2 linked regions of the Callithrix jacchus genome follow. The protein of the gene in region 1 purifies or fractionates together with the protein of each later gene. This does not show direct contact. Links are inferred from orthologs where the notes say so. Each region holds a gene or a part of one and is shown on either strand. Other genes may lie near its edges. The genes, in order: FBXW2 and RBX1.

Region 1 (4,510 bases):
AAATACAAAAATTAGCCAGGCGTGGTAAAGTATGCCTGTAATCCCAGCTACTCGGGAGGCTGAGGCAGGAAAACTGCTTGAACCCAGGAGGTGGAGGTTGCATTGAGTTGAGATAGTGCCACTGCACTCCAGCCTGGGCAAGAGAGGCAAGACTCCATCTCAAATAAATAAATAAATAGCTACAAGGCAAATTTAGAATACCTATTAAAATATTATCAGGTTCTCATCATCCACAGATATCTAAGAGACATACTACAACATGCTAAATTAATGTGTCCATGACACCACTAAAGATTATGGACAGTTTTTTCAGTGAGCACCTTTAAAAAGCTCGGCCATGTCTGAGATTCATATATTCTCCTAACTCTTAATAAAAAAATTTTTCCCAACTCTTAGATTGCCTTTAAAACCATTCAATCTCTTGTAAAACTGAGCAGTTCACCTCTGATTATTCTGAAAAAAGCATTTTTTTTTTCTTAATAAAGGAGGTCTCACTAACTGCAGAATGCACTATTTAAAAAAACCAATTGTTTCTTTTCTAAAAGGATCAACTAACTTTGGAGGGAGCTTTCTAAGGTAACAGGTCTCAACTGGACTCTTTTAGACAGTCTCTAGAAATACCATATACTGGTTGCACAAACATCAGGAAATGGGATTTCAATTAACATGAGAAGCTTTTAAATCTCAGTGCTTTCCAACAATAGAATAGCTGCCTCCAGAGCAGTGAGTTTCCCATTACCACAAACAGTCAAGGACAGCTGGACACACAGGCAGAATGTGATAAATAAAAATGCTTTGGAGGTCGAAATGCTTTACTGATTCAGCCACTTCCTATGTGATTATGGGCATGTCCAACTAACTTCTAAGCTTCAGTTCTGTCATCTGTAAAACGGAAGCTTTCATCTAACTTGAAGGGTGGAACTCAGAAACATAGGAGGGACATGCTTAGCACAGTGTACACACTCTAGAGGATTAAAACTCAAATGATACTTTTTGTTAGTTTTATTACTATGATTACCTGGCAGGCAAGATTTTTGTGACACTGAGGCTGAACTAGACATGACCACTACCATCTTCTTCAACCCTATCATCACAAAGTTTCCCTTAAAAACACCTGGAAGAGGTGGTCTGAAGGTAGTCAGTTATCTCAGTTGATTGTTCACAGTCAGTTACAGACCGAACTCCTTGTTCTACTCTTTCCCTCCTTCTCACTACTGCACTTGATTAGTCTTTAAAAAAAAAAAAAAAAAACCTGGAAGAAAAACTCAAGGGCTCAAACTTACTAGGGGTTTAATTTTATAATGAAGAGCACTCATTTGTTTATTAGAGGCTCTAGTTTCCCTGCAGGTGCCTTATACTAGCCACATTCCCTGTTGTTTGCCCCCTTGCCCCAAGCCCCTATCTGAGAGTTAAAACATTCAACTTGCCCTCTTGCTTTCAGTATCAATAATCACAAACCTCTGAGGAAGTGGGTCATGTAACAAAAAGACTCCTAAATTGGAAGATGAGAGCCTGGGGTTAGTCTCCCTCAGGTTCTGCCATTATGTTACCTTAGGCAACTGGCATATTTATGTTGCTTTTATTTAAAGAAAAAGTATCACTGGTAAACATTATCTCATTTGATCTTCATAACCTCATGGAAGGTATCAATAATCCCACCCTTACCTAACATAATGAGGAACTTTATGGCTCAAGAAGTAGAATGGCTTTCCCAGAATGGCATAGGAAGTAGCAGCCTCAATATACAATAGCCTCAAAACCTACACTCTGAGTTATTAGAGAAAGAACCTTCTGGATAAAACAGTGTAGGCCAGGCGCGGTGGCTCATGCCGGTAATTCCAACACTCTGGGAGGCCGAGGCTGGCGGTCACGAGGTCAGGAATTCGAGACCAGCCTGATCAACATGGTAAAACCCCGTCTCTACTAAACACACACACACACACACACACACACAAAATTAGCCGGGCGTGTTGGCACACACATGTAACCTCAGCTACTCAGGAGGGTGAGGCACGAGAATCGCTGGAACCAGGGAGGCGGAGATTGCAGTGAGCCGAAATCGCGCCACTGCACTCCAGCCTAAAGAGCGAGACTCCGTCTAAAAAAAAAAGTATAAATACGTTTTCCCCTCCTACTCCATCAGAACCTGGCCTAGTCAAGAGTGCAAGCAACGTAATTGTTAGTGGCATACCGAAGGAGGTTTCCTTTCCCCCCCTCTTTTCCTGACAAAGAGTACAGAGGCTTTAGAAATGTATACACATGTATAAATTTACATCTGCATAAAATGTAATCTGAATATTCAAAAAACTGATAACTCTGGTTGCCTCCAGAGAGAACTGGGGAGCTGGAAAACAGGAATGAGGGGTCCCTTTTCATTGTATATTTTTAAAAACTGAGAACCACATAAGTATAATACACTATCAAAAAACAGCCTTTAGTTTTAAGGTGAATTTTTTAAAGCTTTGAAAGAATACAAATAATGTTTATAAAATACGGGTTCTGCAACTCCACTTGTTGCTGGGTGACCTTGGGCAAATCACTTTACATGCCTCACTCCCTGTTTCCTCACTTGTAAAATATAGCCACGAAGAGCATTACCTACAAGGGTTTTTATGAGGGTTAAACAGGACAGTGCACGTAGAGCGTTTAGCACAGTACCTGGCACACTGCAAGTCTTCAGTAAATGTCAGTTAGCATTATTATTTAGCATTAATAGTTACCTTTGCTTTAATTCGAGAAGCACCACACATACACACCTGTTTCCATGGCATACCCACAATTATCGCGCAGTACAGCGCTTTGTACTTCATAAACCACCTCATCACACTTCATCTTTCAAACGCTTGGTAGCCCTGGGACATCACAGTTAACTCATTTCGCAGCTAAGGAAATGGAAGCACTAGGAGGCAGTAACTCCGAAACCCTATTTTCCCATTTCTAAAATCCAGATCCCAACAACCCATTCGTCGCTCCCAGGTCCCTCGCTCCCGGAATCGTGTTCCGCGCGGCACTGACCTGAGCGAGCGCCCCGGGGCCCGGGACCTCGCGCCGGGTTCACAGCTACCAGGCGCGCTCGGGCCGCCAGAGCCTCGCAGCGGCCGGGTCCGCTCCGCAGCCATGGCGCCTGCAGGGAGAAAAAGACAAACCGCCAAGGCGCGGCGGGTCAGCCGAAGCGCGGGCGCCTGAGAGTCCCCTCCCAGACCGGCTCCGCCTCGCATACAAACCTGGACCTGCGGCCGCCGCTCCCGGTCCGCAGCCTCACAGGGGAGCGGCTTCCGGTGCTGCCTACGTCATCTCCACGCGTCCGTCAGCCCCGCTGCGCCCGGCGGAAGCGGCTGTGCTTCCGGTCCCTGGCCCAAGGGGGGAAGGTGGGAGGTGGTGGGTTGTGGGAGGCTGGAGGCCGGGAGTCGGGGTTGGGGAAGAGCGTCCTAGGAAGCTGGGCGCGCGTTGCGCGGCCCCCAGGGTGCTTAGACTGGGTACAGACTAGAGCAGAGCTTCCCTTCGTACCCATACATCCGGGTTTGCACAGCGCTCTTATGTCCCTCCTCCAATTCAATCTTGCACCAACTGCAGTTTTTCTTTTCTTCACTTTACGGAGAGGGAGCTGCGGCTCAGAGAAGTTAAGAGACGTGTCCAAATTCATACAACCCGTTGAGCACCTCTTTTATCCGGAATACTGTTTTGCGAGTAAGTTTAGTGAACAAAAAACACAAAAATTCCTGACCGCCTGGGACATCTATTAGGAGGAGGAAGACCGATAAATTAAGTAAGGCATCTGTGATGTGCTAAGGAGAAAAATAAAGCAGGGTAAGGAGGTTGGTGAATGAAAAAAGACAGTCAGGTGACATAGATTTGAATGAATCGCAGCATTTACACTCTGGCTGTCGCCTGGGTACTTTACCTCTCAGATTGCTTCATCTGCATAGCAATTATAGTAAGCTACCCACCCGAAGTGTCTGAGGATTTAAGGAAATGAAGTATGCAAACCTTTTAGCGTCAGGAACTAAAACTGAGCTAAATTTCATGCACTTTCTCAACATTTTTTGTGTACCATCTCAGTTCCCACAACAACCCCACAAGCTAGTTACTATTATTAGGCCCATTTTTAGAGATGGGGAAACTGAAATCAAAAGATTTAGGCATTTTGCCTAAGGTTATAGTAAATGGCTGTCATAGGATGTCAACCCAAACCGACTTCGGAGCACAAGTTATCCCCCCCACCCTTTTTTTTTTTTTTTGCTGAGGCAGAGTATCACTCTGTCGCCCAGGCTGGAGTACATACAGTGAGTACAGTGGCACGATCTTGGCTCACGGCAGCCTCGACTTCTCCAGGTTTAAACGATCCTCCCACTTCAGCCTCCAGAGTAGTTGGGACCACAGGCGCGTATCACCATGTCTGGCTGTCTGTGTGTGTGTATTTTTGTAGAGGCAGGGTTTCGCTATGTTGCCCAGGCTGGTCTTGAACTCCTAGGCTCAAACAATCCACCTGCCTGGATCTCCCAAAAAAGTG
Region 2 (4,577 bases), about 23 Mb from region 1:
CAATGTGTTTCTGGTATTCCCATCAGGACCTGTAGGCACACAATACATTAATGACAGATATTTTCACATAAAATCATTAAAACTTGGGCTAAGAAAAACTCTGTAGGCTTCCTATAGCTCTTTAAGGTCTCAAACAATTTTTCAAGTCTGGTTAAAGCTGTGGTGGTGTTTTCCAGGATCTGCTGTTCCTGTTTATGACTAAAAGGGAAACAAATCGCAATTCTTTCACTGTTATTATTATTATTATTTTGAGATGGAGTCTCGCTCTCTCACCAGGCTGGAGTGCACTGGCACTACCTCGGCTCACTGCAACCTCTGCCTCCCGAGTTCAAGCGATTCTCCTGCCTCAGCCTCCTGAGTAGCTGGCACTACAGGCGCATGCCACCACACCTGGCTAATTTTTCTATTTTTTGTAGAGATGGGGTTTTGCCATGTTGGCCAGGCTGGTCTCGAACTCCTGACCTCATGTGATCCATCCACCCGCCTCAGCCTCCCAAAGTGCTGAGATTACAGGCATGTGCCACCATGCCTCTAAGAGTGATCTGGCAGTCACACCTCTGCAAGGTTAGAGATGTCAAAGGGAGTCCTGGTCTAGGCAGAAATGGGAGAGTGACACGAAGTACAGGTGCTTGTGCCGGGCGTGGTGGCGTACTCCTGTGAGTACTCACTGTGGGAGGCCGAAGTGTGAGGATCGCCTGAGACCAAGAGTTCGAGGCCAGCCAGGGCAACATAGTGAGACATTGTCTCCATTAAAAAAAAAAAAAGATCAGAATGCCTCACAAAATTCAAGAAATACAGTGACTTCAAGTGGGTTGGTTTCATTATAGCTCAAGCAGCAGACAGAGGACACGGACCGGGAAGAAATCACCCCACGCAGATGACAACTGAGGAAGGGGGAGTGGGGACTGACACGCTATAGTGAAGCCGGGCACCCCAACCAAAGGCGGTCCTAGGACTGCGACTAGGCGGGCGCAGAGGCCACCCCCCAGGCTTCGCGGGCGGGTGAGGGCAGGGCTGGGGGCCTGCTCAGTCTGGCCTTGAGGAGGGCCTTCTGAGGTCTCCCTTCTTCCCATCGAATCCCCGAGCAGTTCCCAAACAGAAATCGGAGACCAGACGGTGCCTGCGCTCCAGCCCTCTCAGGAGGACTGCACCTCGGGCCTGGCTACGAGGCGGGTCAGAGTCTGCGAAAGACCAGCGAGGGCTCTCGGGTTCTGGGGTAGGCGGCGGGTACCCACCCCCGCGCCTTCCCCAGCCCGCACTGGGAGCTGCGCGGCGACCCGGAGAGCCCGACAAGCCGGGTAGGGCTGCGGCGCAGGTCGTGCTCATGCGGAGGAAACAGCCGCCGCCCCAGCTGACGGAGTGTGGTCGGGGGCTTCCCAGAAGAGGCGGCGAGAGCAAACCCTTTCGAACATTTCCACCAGGCTAGCTCACGTAGCCTCGGCCCCGCCCCAGCCACTCCCGCCACCGCCCCCACCGGCCGACACGACGCGGGTGGGGCAATCTGCGCCAGCCCCTTTAAGAGGCGTGGTGACGTGCTCCGCCCCCACCTGCCTCTCGCGCGCCAATAAGGGGTGGGGTGTGGGAGGAGGTGCCGGGAGGCGGGGGAGTGAGGCGTGCACAGTTGCGCAGGCGCGGTGGTCGGACGACAGATCTTGTATTTCCAAAATGGCGGCAGCGATGGATGTGGATACCCCGAGCGGCACCAACAGCGGCGCGGGCAAGAAGCGCTTTGAAGTGAAAAAGGTTGGGTCTCGCCAGCACCTTCCTCAGGGAAGCTAGAGAGGCGCGGATCTGGCTGGCAGGCCCCAGGATGGTCGAGGCGCGGAGTAAAGGGTTTCATTTCAGGGCGTTCCTGGGACCGGGTACCACGAAAGGAAGCCGGGGGGCGGGTCTTAGAGTTGATCGGCGTGACGGTGGCCCACTGTCAGGGACGTGTTGGTTTCGCTGTGAGGCTGAGGGGCCAATCACGGAGCTGCTTATTGAGATACGCGGGGTTGCGATTTGGCGGCAGGAGCCAAGCGCTTGAGCTGTCACTGGAGTGGTCGAGGTGGGGGAAGGACAGGGTGGGGTAGGGTGGGTGAAATGGGGAGTCGGAGTGACTGCGGCGGTGGAGGATGGGGCAGTGCGGCGAAAGCTGGGAACAATCTGAGGTCGTACTGCATTGGAGGCCTCTGAGGGACCCCGCTGGTGATCTTGCCCCGCCCCTTTTTGAAGCTTGGGGTCCTCTCACTTTGAGGAATCCAGACTTGGTGCTCGCCGAACCGAGGCCTCCATTAACCCCATCTCTGGGCCTCACACCGTCTAAAGAGTCTGGAGTGTAGTGCTTGGCTCTTCTGAGACGTCTGTTGTCTTTTCACATAACCATCTCAGTCCTGGGTTCTCTGTCACGTCCAGAATCTCCCCCTTCCAAAATAAAAATAAAAAGCATGGTGGCATTTGTTAAGAAAATCCGAGCCCAAATCCTGTGGCATTTAGGGAGGGTTGAGTACTAGTCGTGAATGACTTGGTAAGAGTGGAAAAGCAAAAATGGAACGTGTCTTTTTATATGAAATGCCTTTTAGTGGTTTGCCACAGTTTGGGGGACAGTGTCGATTCCCACCTAACATGAAAGCTGTTCAAAATGGAGATTCTGAAATAGGGAAGATATTCCTGGAACATCTGGTTAAACACTGACATATCCCCCCTCCTAGTGCTTTTTGGTGTCTCATTGTGGCCACTGCTGCTCAGTTACAGCCAGCAGCCATATTGAAGAATAATAGAAGAGGGGCTTTTCCTCCAAGTTGAAACTGTGATGTGAAAAGTGGGAAAGAAGTTATAAGGCACTGAGAATGGGGTCTGAAAGTGATGAAGGTTTGGCAGTATTCGTAACTGAGGAAGCCAGAGTGGAATAACTGAAATGCCACTTTTAGTTAAACTCTTACTGGAATTATCTCAATACAAGACATAAAAGTTGGGAACATCTGTTTATTTTATGGTAAGAATCAAACAAAATTCTAGTGAATTCTAGAATTTGTTATAAAGTAATCTTCTAAGATTTAAGTGATGACCTTGGTCTGTGTACTGACACGGGTACTTAATTATCCAGCTTATCCCATGATTATCCATTTTATGGTCCCATGATCATCTTAGTTCATTCTGTTCCCTAGCTTTCACCTCACTGCTCATGCTTCCGGAGCTTCCTGGAAGAGCAGATACTCACTCAGATTTTGAGCTCTTCTGCAACTGCCACAAAAACCTGCACAGTAATTCAAGTTTGTGTTTATTAAGCCTACAACGGGCAGTTAAAAATTGTTCCTAATTTGTTTACATTGATACGGCTGACAATTATTTTATTTCATTTTTTTGAGGCAGAGTCACCCTTTTGCCCAGGCTGGAGTAAAGTGGCACCAATGTCAGCTCATTGCAACCTCTGCCCCCGAGGTTCAAGCAGTTCTGCCTCGGCCTGCCGAGTAGCTGGGATTATAGTCAACTGCCACCATGCCCAGCTAAGTTTTGTATTTTTACTAGAGATGAGGTTTTGCCATGTTGGCCAGGCTTGTCTCAAATTCCTGACCTCAGGTGATCCCCTCGCCTCGGCCTCCCAAAGTGCTAGGATTATAGGTACAAGCCACTGTGCCTGGCCACTAACTAAATTGTTTTATTTTATTTTATTTTGAGATGGAGTTGTGCTGTTGTTACCCAGCTTGGAGTGCAATGGCACGATCTCGGCTCACTGCAACCTCCGCCTTCTGGGTTCAAGCAATTCTGCCTCAGCCTCCCGAGTAGCTGGGACATCAGGTGCGCACTACCGTGCCCAGCTAATTTTTGTATTTTTAGTAGAGACAGGGTTTCACCTCGTTGACCAGGATGGTCTCGATCTCTTGACCTTGTGATCCACCCGCCTCAGCCTCCCAAAGTGCTAGGATTATAGGCGTGCTCCTGGCCAAAGTATTTTAAACTATAAGAAACAAAAGATGACTCATTAATTTCTGTGTTGACATACGCAGCCTTTTGGAGAATGGGAGAACATACGTGTAGTCTACCGTTGTCCTTTGATATAATAAGAATAATGTAATATCCAGAAACTTGTGTTTGGTGGTTCCCCATGGCCGAAGAGGTGGTAACTGCAGCTGCAGCATGAAGTCGTAAAGAGTGTGTGTTACAAGGAGAATGCATTGTTCCCTCTTTTTGTCTTTGCAGTGGAATGCAGTAGCCCTCTGGGCCTGGGATATTGTGGTTGATAACTGTGCCATCTGCAGGAACCACATTATGGATCTTTGTAAGTAATTGGAGGAGGATGGGAGAAAGTTGAGAAGGTTACAGAGATTGTGGCTATCTTGATGTGACCAATTTTCTTCTTCACAAGGAGATAGAAGCCTATGCTGAGCACTCGGTCTTCTGTATCTAATCTGTTGATGTGTTGGAAATAGAGTAGTTTTTTTATGATGTCCTGGAAGCATACCCAGCTCTCAGAATAAATCTACTCAATCTAAAGATGGCAGGGACACATTTAGAATGAATTGTGGACAACAGGCACTATTGACTCTTCCTGGGTATCTCCCCTCTTGTACCTAGACTCGAAGGTAGAAATAGTGAAC

What was found.
Region 2: the proteins of FBXW2 (region 1) and RBX1 purify together in Homo sapiens (affinity purification with western blotting; 3 studies listed by BioGRID and IntAct, with this or other methods). This does not show direct contact. The link is inferred for Callithrix jacchus from reciprocal best matches to the Homo sapiens genes FBXW2 and RBX1.

The regions. Positions count from the first base shown.
Region 1 is NC_133502.1:169,203,307-169,207,816, forward strand, and holds the start of FBXW2 (F-box/WD repeat-containing protein 2), read right to left. Parts: upstream 2,954-4,510; 5' UTR 2,833-2,953; coding exon 2,757-2,832; intron 1-2,756. UniProt on the Homo sapiens protein: Substrate-recognition component of the SCF (SKP1-CUL1-F-box protein)-type E3 ubiquitin ligase complex.
Region 2 is NC_133502.1:191,767,741-191,772,317, forward strand, and holds the start of RBX1 (E3 ubiquitin-protein ligase RBX1), read left to right. Parts: upstream 1-1,644; 5' UTR 1,645-1,665; coding exon 1,666-1,743; intron 1,744-4,179; coding exon 4,180-4,258; intron 4,259-4,577. UniProt on the Homo sapiens protein: E3 ubiquitin ligase component of multiple cullin-RING-based E3 ubiquitin-protein ligase (CRLs) complexes which mediate the ubiquitination and subsequent proteasomal degradation of target proteins, including proteins involved in cell cycle progression, signal transduction, transcription and transcription-coupled nucleotide excision repair.